2 linked regions of the Neurospora crassa OR74A genome follow. The protein of the gene in region 2 binds, or shares a complex with, the protein of the main gene of each other region. Links are inferred from orthologs where the notes say so. Each region holds a gene or a part of one and is shown on either strand. Other genes may lie near its edges. The genes, in order: NCU07560 and NCU04171.

What was found.
Region 1: NCU04171 (region 2) and NCU07560 share a complex: the UniProt entries of both Schizosaccharomyces pombe proteins name them as parts of the mitochondrial large ribosomal subunit. The link is inferred for Neurospora crassa OR74A from reciprocal best matches to the Schizosaccharomyces pombe genes mrpl7 and mrpl17.

The regions. Positions count from the first base shown.
Region 1 is NC_026503.1:4,356,536-4,361,091, reverse strand, and holds NCU07560 (50S ribosomal subunit L30), read right to left. Parts: upstream 3,067-4,556; 5' UTR 2,720-3,066; coding exon 2,683-2,719; intron 2,537-2,682; coding exon 1,764-2,536; intron 1,675-1,763; coding exon 1,378-1,674; 3' UTR 813-1,377; downstream 1-812. Other genes in the region: NCU07559 (hypothetical protein), read left to right, coding at 1-282; NCU16690 (hypothetical protein), read left to right, coding at 3,716-4,039. UniProt on the Schizosaccharomyces pombe protein: Component of the mitochondrial ribosome (mitoribosome), a dedicated translation machinery responsible for the synthesis of mitochondrial genome-encoded proteins, including at least some of the essential transmembrane subunits of the mitochondrial respiratory chain.
Region 2 is NC_026505.1:5,078,977-5,083,192, reverse strand, and holds NCU04171 (mitochondrial 54S ribosomal protein YmL7/YmL5), read right to left. Parts: upstream 2,570-4,216; 5' UTR 2,295-2,569; coding exon 2,038-2,294; intron 1,902-2,037; coding exon 1,217-1,901; intron 1,014-1,216; coding exon 897-1,013; 3' UTR 565-896; downstream 1-564. Other genes in the region: NCU04172 (hsp70-like protein), read left to right, coding at 1-263; NCU04170 (hypothetical protein), read right to left, coding at 2,962-4,216. UniProt on the Schizosaccharomyces pombe protein: Component of the mitochondrial ribosome (mitoribosome), a dedicated translation machinery responsible for the synthesis of mitochondrial genome-encoded proteins, including at least some of the essential transmembrane subunits of the mitochondrial respiratory chain.

The sequences.
Region 1 (4,556 bases), on a different chromosome or scaffold from region 2:
CCCAACAGCATTATCAGTCGTCGGTCAAGTATTTGTTCTTCTGTCGCTTCTGGTATGACTGGAAGCATGGTTGACACCCCGCCCAGTGTTTTCGGTGACGGCAGTGATGAGGAGGAGGAGGAGGAGGAAGAGAAGCAGGAGGCACCTGAGGTTCATCGTCTCCCCCCGTGGGAGGCAGTTTTCTGGGAAAAGTTTGGAAACAAATTGGTCCTTGACCACGGTGAAGTTTTGGCGCTCACCACTTCGATTCCGCTCAGAAAGTCCCGGATTCGGAATCTCTAGGATGATCATCGGGACCTCCTGTATGAGCTCCTTTTTGTGTGGGCTTTGGGCACGATTTGTGTGTTATTCAGATTGCTTTTCAGATGGGTGGAGATTTGAGACTTGACTTGTGTGTGGTGTGGTAATGCCAACAAGTAATTTGTTAATGATGTACGAGGAATGGAGGAGTACACCACTGGTACGCGCGCGAGAAGTGTCCCAGCTAGAGGTGTAAGCCAACGGCCTTATATGGATGATCAAGGAGGATGTCCTGATGGAGGCGTAGGAGACGTGTGAAGATATCCTACAGGCCGCCGTGGTGTGGACTTTCAACCAGCTCAAAAGTACCGTTGCTTTGGTCTGCGGCTGGCACAAGCTTTGACTGTGTGTCTCAAGCCGGGAGAACCGGTGTTCATCATTGATCAAGGCTGGATCTTGAAGAGGTCACTGCCATACCTATCCACGTCTCTAATGCAGAATCGGGTCACAGATATGTGATTAGCTCAGTCTGTCTTGTTTGTGTATGTTAGTATCAGACTTCACCTCAGATAGCGGTATGACCAACCCAGCGGATGTCTGGTAGTATTCACCAACCATCTCGCATCCTGTATGACATCTTCATCCCAAATCTCTATACACAGCATATGTTTTTACATTACAAACAACACCCTCTCTCGTCCCTGTGCTTCATGTCAGCCTTCGCCCGCTTCTTGCAGACATGGCATGCGAGCTTGGCTTCGGCCTGGTCAAGTACGCTGAGGCGTGCGAGGCCTTTGAACTGTCAAGTCAAGTTCCAAACCATCTCTGATTCTCTTCCTCGAGACCTTTGATTGTGTTCGGCTAGGGGGCGGTCCAGGTCTACTCAGCGCATAAACAACAATTGTACCTTGCCACCGACCGACTAAAACCATCTTTTGATATCAATACATTTGTACACATGCTTCTCTCTTCTTCTTCTTCCGCCACCCACTGCACTTCCCCATTCTATTTCCCCGGAAGATAATGGTGTAGTCTCACCGACTTCGACCATCGACTCATCATCACCTCTCCAACCTTGTTCTTCCATACTTCACTTCACCAGACCAGGCTACATAGGGTGTTGTTGTGTTGTGTTGTTCACCTCTCAGCAAACATGCCCTTGACGCTGTGGAAGTACTCCTCCGCCAACGTGCTGCGCAGCTCCTCCTGCGTGAGCCACTTGAAGTCGACCAGATCATGCAGGTTGTCGGTCAGGTCGGCCTGGCCGGCCATGATGCGGCCCTTGAGGAAGAAGATCTTCTCGCCCTTCTTGAGCAGGGCGCCGTCCTTCTGGCCGAAGACGGGGCGGACGACGTGGTGGGCTACGGGCACGCGGCCGACGATCCACGTGTTCATGTTGACGCCTGCGGACTCGGCGAGGATGCGGGCTGCGGTCTGTTTATCGTCATCATCAAAGGTTAGTTGGCCGCGAGTTTTGGAAAATGGTTGGAAGTTGGGTTGGGGAAAAAGGGAATATAACGAACCTCATGCAACCCCTCATCCGTAGGCACCACGCCCGTAGGGAACATCCACTTGGCCTCCTCGCCTTCCTTGTCCGCCTTCTTTTTGACTACCAGATAAAGCGTCTTGTCCAGCGCGCGATCCAACCGCTTGACATCCCCTTTCTCATCCGCCTCCGTCCGTCTCGGCATCGGCTTCTCGACGGGGACCCGGTCCTCGGCGGGGATCTCCTCGCCATCCTCCGACACGCGCATCTCCGCGTCGGCAAGCAATTTCTCCACCATGTGCTTTCTCGACGACGTCTGCGACCCCACCAGCACCTCGTCGTTCCACGCCATCCGGCCGCGCGGGTTGTACCGACCAATGTCCTTGGCGGGCACGCCGTGGCGCTCCTTCAGCTTGATGCGCCAGTCCAGGTCGGCGGCCGTGTCCTTCTTGAAGTAAAAGTCCTTGCGGAAGGGGGCCGTCAGCCGCTCGTTGAGGCGCTTCTGGTAAAAGTAAAAGGATTCTTCAAAGGGGGTGAGGTCGCGCGTCAGCAGCGGGGGGCGGGTCAGGATCACGCCCGACTTGATGCGGTAGATTTGCGACGAGGTCGAGGTGGCGGCGTGGGTGCCTGTTGATGTGGTGACGGGCGGGTGAGGAGGGGGTAGTGTTGTTGTGGTCGTGGCAGTGGCAGTGGCAGTGGCAGTGGCAGAGGCCTCGGCGGAGTAGAAACGTCTAGGTGCGCTGGTGACGCCGGCGGGCGCAAGTACTCGGGTTTGGTTGCGGCATTGTAGGCAGATGGACCGTTGTTGGCCTGGAAGGAAGAGAAAGAACAGATTGCGACGGGTTAGTTATGGTGTCTTTAAGCTTAAAGTTTGCGATCGGAAGCCATGCATGGAAAACACCAATTCGTAACGAGTTGACGATACGAAAAGAAGATAAAGAAAAAGTGGTCCATACTCCTAAGGAGAGCAGCTCCCCTACTCGACGCCGACATGATGGGCAGTATATATGACTTGGTTGTTGAACGGGGCCCGGGTGTGTAGACAACGGGACACGGGACGGGGAGAGGGAGGGAGGACGGGTGAATCTTGCGCGCGCGCCAATCCTCAACGCAACTCTCTCTCTCTCTCTCGCAAGTCTCGGGGTGGATGCGGGACGGGGTCGGTCGGTCGGTCGCTGCGGCGGGCGGGCGGGCGGGCAGGCAGGCAGGGCAGAGCGGACGGACGGGCGACACACAGCGCGGGAAACCGGCCGTGAACTTTTTCGATGTCCGCAGCCCCACTCTTTCCCTGGGGCCCTCCCGCCTGCCGCGCTGCCGCCGCGCACCGATCAGTCAGGTCCCCTCCCTGCTCGTTTCGTTCCTGGTCGCGATTGAACAATTGAGTCTTGGCAACCGATTTACTTTCCTTCACCGCCTTCCCTTTTCGAAAGCTTCCCTTTTTCTTCTCCAAAACCAATCCCCCCCGCTACCTACCCCACCATAACTTTCACGTCCTCAGTTAGGTTCACGGCTCCTACGACCCCACATGACCACTCACCTGACCGAAGCGGGTCCAGCAAACTTTTGAACTGAACTGCTGCAATAAAACTGCCACCAATCCCCCCTCCCCTTCTCTTCTTCCTTCTTCTTCTTCTTTTTTTTCTTTCTTCAAGGCACCATTCCTTATCATCACGACGTTTCTCTTCCTCCAAAACTGTCCTGATCATTTAGTCCGTGCCGAGAGGAACCACCATGAGCAGACGAATTCGCTAGCGGTACCTGCCTATAAACGCTCTACCGGGTTGCTGTTAGATAGAATCTGCTTACATATTTTTCTCCTGCGAACTCTCGTGACGGTTTTGCATTGTATGTATGTAATAATACTGCAGACTGTCTTGTGTGTGTGTGTGTGTGTTTGCTCTTTCTGAGAAATGAGCTTGGCCCAGTCAGTCTGGTCAGTCAGTCTCCTTCTCCATGGCATGTACACTACGTGTGAGGAGACTTCGCTAGATGAAAGTCAAGATGGGGCTGGTTTCTTTGAAAGTGTTATTCTTGCCACTTCGTGAAATGCTTCCCCGTCTCGAATTTCTCAAGCCTCGTTTTTGTGGCACGCGTCTTGTCTGGCTGCTTGGTGTCCTGTCGATTCATTCCTTGACTTTGGATATGAACCTTCCTGAGATCATTCATGGATCGTTCTCCATCCCCGACACTTGCTTGTCGTCACTCCGGTCAATGTCGCGATCAAGCACGGCCACATCTACTGAAGTCTCAGCTACGCCGCAATGCACATACTGCCCAGCTCAGAATATTCATTTCCACCATCCATGTCGCTGATCACGATATACATATGCGTGCTTCATCTCATAGAATTATCAGACCTGCCTCCTTGCTAGCGTTCGGACAAGCTTTCCAAATCTTTACTAGGCTACGTATCAGAATGGATGGACAAGTTAGTGGAATATCAAAAAAAGATGAACAAGAATAGAATGAGCAGTCATCACGTTATCAACCGACTTGTTCAGCACACCTTGCGCAATGCCGGAAACAGTGGACTACACTACATAGTCCAAGTTCCTTAACGATGACCAAAATGCAACAAAAAAAAAAAAAAAAAAGTCATGTCTGTTCATTGAAAAGATCCTAATGTATAAAAACTACCGCACGCCAGTTGTCCGCCAGGATATTTACCCAGATTCACCCCAGCCGGCCCTGATACCATACACCATCTAACATATACATCACATGAGTGATCAGAAAGTACTTCTCCTTTCTATCATGCCCAATACATAAGCGTCATCCTGATCAACGATGACTGAGCAAAGCTTCCGTGCCAGCAACCGCTTGGATGCTG
Region 2 (4,216 bases):
GGCTGTTGGCCATGGGCGGCGTGCCCAAGTTGGTGGACCTGGCGATGAAGGAGGGCGAGTCGGAGAAGGTGAGGCGCAAGGCTACGTATGCGCTTAGCAGTGCGGTGAGGAATTATCAGCCGGCTATGGATGTCGCGGCGGACGAGATGCATAAGCGCGGTCATGAGGTTTTGGTGAACAACGGGACCAAGGTGGATGCGGCGGATATGGATAAAGTGGATGAGGTTATTGACGTTTTGAGAAACAAGGCCAAGTCTGCTTAGAGCTGTCTAAGGGGATGAGTAGGTTGAGGGTTTGGGGTTCATGATGGGGATGACCAAATGAAAGGAAAATGGGACTGAAAAGATATGGTTTTGGTTTTGGCATTGGAAAAGGCGTTTGGTTTTTTTTGTTTGGAGATCCTTGGTTGATCAAGACGAATGGGTTCTGTTGTCATAATATCTTGACCTGTTCTGTGCAAAGCTAGACTGGGATATGGATATGTGGTTCTAGACTTGGGAGTTGTTTATGAAGCAGATACCCTTGACGATGTCCGTTTACACAATCCAGTTCACGCAATGATGACACCCTTCCAATTGTTTTACGCATTTGTGATTCTACTTCTTTGATCTTTGACCGTCAGACCCGGTGGTATTGTTCTTCTTCCGTTTCCTTTCCACTTCGTCTATAAGCCTCCTCCTCGTGATGTTGTTACAAAAGGTATATATACACCCAACATACATCGTCCTTATGTGGTTAGTGTATTCGTATTGTACAAGTTTCACACATCTCCTCATCCTCCTCAATTGTCATCCAACAACTATCATGATGCGAGATGTTGTTCATCATCTTCTCATCCCCCTTCCTTGAATCTCGTCCCTTTCTCAACCTCTCACGATCAACAGCCCGTTTGGCGCTTAGTTGCTGTAGAAAGGAACGCCGAGGGACTGGAGCAGAAGCTTAGCCTGCCTGTCGGAGGTGGCTGTCGTCTTGATGGCGATGTGGCAACCGGGAATCATCTTGGCGGGGTACATCTGGAGAGGATAGAAAGTCAGTAATCTGTCGTCAAGTCCAAGAAAACAAGAAGACGAAGCAGACGGTAGGGCCAAAGCCGGAGCCAGAGCCGGAACCAGAACCCTCCCTACTGTAGCTTCGGCTCCGGCTCCAACTCCAAACTTTTGTTCTCCTCCGTCCTCTCTTTCTCTTCCACCCATCATTTCCCAAGAAACAAACTCACATCATAGTTGCATTCCACCTCGGGAAAAAGCTGAACATCCTCCGGATTCAAACCAAACTGCACATTACCGCTTCCATCACCCGTACTCGCCGGCACGCCCTTCCAATCCTTGATCCGGGGGAGAACCAAATGGATCAACCGATCCATAAACTCCCACGCCGCGTTTCCGTAAATCGTCGTCTTGCAACCAGCCGGTTTGTTCGCCTGCAGCTGCCACTGCACCACGTTGTTCTTGGACCTCGTCATCTCCGGCATCGTCCCCGTCATGGCCAGCAGCACCGCCCGGGCCACAATCAACAAGTCCGGGTTCTTGAGACCGAGCGGCACGAAGGTGGAGACGGTGATTTCCTTGATCTCGGGGATGTTGCGGAACGAAATGTCGCGCTCGCGAATGGGAAGCTCGGGGGCACCGCGGGGCGCGCGGCGGGCACGGTTGGCGAAGTAGGGCGAGTCGCCCTCCCAGGCACGCAAGCGCTCCGTGGGTTCCTTTTTGGGCGTTCCCGGGGGTGTGTGGATGTAGGCCAGGGTCATGAGGTCCGAGGCCATGACGGTGCGGAAGGTTTCCTTGAGACGAGGCATGTTGAAGGGGCCGGGAACGAAGTCGCGGGCGATAGGGTCGGAGGAGGGAGGGGATTGGATGGGGTGGAGGGGGCCGCGGTTGTACTTGGGGGGGTGGTATTGGTATCTGTTCGGTAGGAGGTGAGGCATGGTGGTTAGCAACGTTTAAACATCTTGTTTATGGTTTGCGTATATGTATGTATATATACATGTGTGTGGCTAGCTATGTAAACCACGGGACGGAGGGAGAGTGTATAACGCACCTGCTGCTAGGCAACCTCGCCTTCCTGTCGGCCGCGCGCTTCCATGGCCTGAACTCCTTCTTGTCCTCTTCGCTGGGGATGGGAGCGTCCAATGCCGACCGTGTCTCAAGCTCGGCGAGGTCGGGAATGTTGGATTTGGGAGTAGCGGCAGCAGCGCCGGCACCAGTTTGTGTCGAGGCGCATCTTCGGACGGCGAACTGAGCAGAGAAAGGCTGAAGAGCGCGAGCCGATCGCGAGACCCCGCGGAGACTGGCCATGGTGAATTAGGATACCGAAAAAAGAAACCGGCGTTCGGGCGGACGCTCTGGTTTCGGAATTGGCGACCGTGGAGGTTGTCGCTTCGGAGTGGTGGTTGAGGAAGAGGGTCCGGCGCACGCGGGAAATCGGGGCCGAAGGTCTGTCACGGACGGGCAGAGGGCAGCGAGGTTCCTTCTCCGGCAAGCGCAAGGTCCTGGTCCCGCGTCGAGGCTCGAAGAGGTGCCGGTCCCCGTTGTGCCGCCCGCCGGAATTTTTTTTGGAGCCTCTGCGGAGTCTCGAACCGGGGCCAATGCTTGGCAGCACGGGCCAAAGCTGGATGAGTTTGGGGTTAGGGATATGAGTCTGTTACCCCTGAAAGCGTTCCTGGACCCCTGAGAATGCATCTGATGTGGTTGATGAACTCTAAATAAAGCATGGATTTGGAAATATATCACTATGTTTGTACCAATATAAGCGATTCAGATCAGGATTCCAACACATTAAGACGACATGTATGATTAGATTAGGAGACACTTGTATATGCGTACGCTTCCTTTGCTCGAAGTATCCTCCGAGCCACTAATAATTACATCATTCCGCGCACACCTTATCAGCATGTCTAGCAATAACAACAAAGTATGTAACGGGGAAGAAAGAGAAAACAGAAAAAACATCCAAGTATCATCATCACCGTCCAAGACTACGTCCCCATCGCCTCTCAATATTCTTCCGCCCAGAGCCGCTTCTTCTCACTTGTCCCACACCCCCATCACCATCCCATTTCAACTCATAATCAGACTCCCCATCTTTGCCCAAATTGGGTAACTTCACCTTCACCATCCCCTCGTTTCTCCTTTCTATACTCCTCCTAGCAGGAGAAGTAGTCCCAGCCGGCTGAATACTGTAAAGCAACAACCTTGAGCCAGCACCGCAGAACTCCGTCTTATCACCGACGCAGAACGACCTCTTGCACTCATACAGCTCTGACGCCGCCACCGCCGTGTCCGCGAGCGAATTGCCGCAGTAACACTCCTTGCCGAACTCCACGCCAAAGAGACTGTAGCCCCTCGACTGACAGCGTTCGTGGCACATCTCGACCGTCATGCTCGTGCTGTTGGTGTACGAGTGAGCTTTGAGAATACGAGCCGTTGAGTTGTCGATGAAGCAACCCTGTGGCGTCGCCAAGCGCCCGTTAACCACGGACGGGTTGACGAGCCGGGGCGTCACGTAGTTAGTTTGTCTGAAGACGTCCAGACGAGCGCGGCCACCGCAGCGTGTTGATGGGTCACCGGCGCAGGTGAGATTACAGCCAGTCTGGCCGAGGCTGTAGCCGGGCTTGAACTCGAGACCACAGTAGCATTGGGATTGGAACTCGAGGCCGGCGAGGGGGTAGTTTTGCTGGGCGCAGTAGTTAAGACATTTTTGAATGGTCATGCCGGCGCTGTCGTATAGGTAGGTGCCATTGAGCGCGCGAGCAGTAGGCGCGGCGGTGTTGGAGTCACTGGCACATCCTTGGTAGTCCCAGTTCACAACAGCAGGAATTGTAGGCGAGGCTGAGGCGATGTTCGTGGTGGAAGTAGTGGCAGCAGTGGCGATGGTCGTGGTGGCTTGAGTAGGGGCTGTAGTAGCAACGGCGGCGGCGGTTGTAGTAGTTGTACTAGTTGTAAACAAGACTGGGGTGGTGTTCGTAGTAGAACTAGTAGCGGTAGTGGTGGTAGTGGTGACTGGAGCAGGATCTGTACTCGTGACAGCCGCAGCGGTTGTAGTACTTGTGCCAGCGGCAGGAGGGACTGAAGTGACAGTAGGTGCAGAGAGAGTGGTACTGACAACCGCAGGAGCAGTAGTAGATGAGCTGGATCCTGGAGCGACGCTGAGAGTGATACTCGTAGTAGGAGCATCACTTGCAGTGGGAGCGACACTTACGGAAATCGTAGTAGCAACG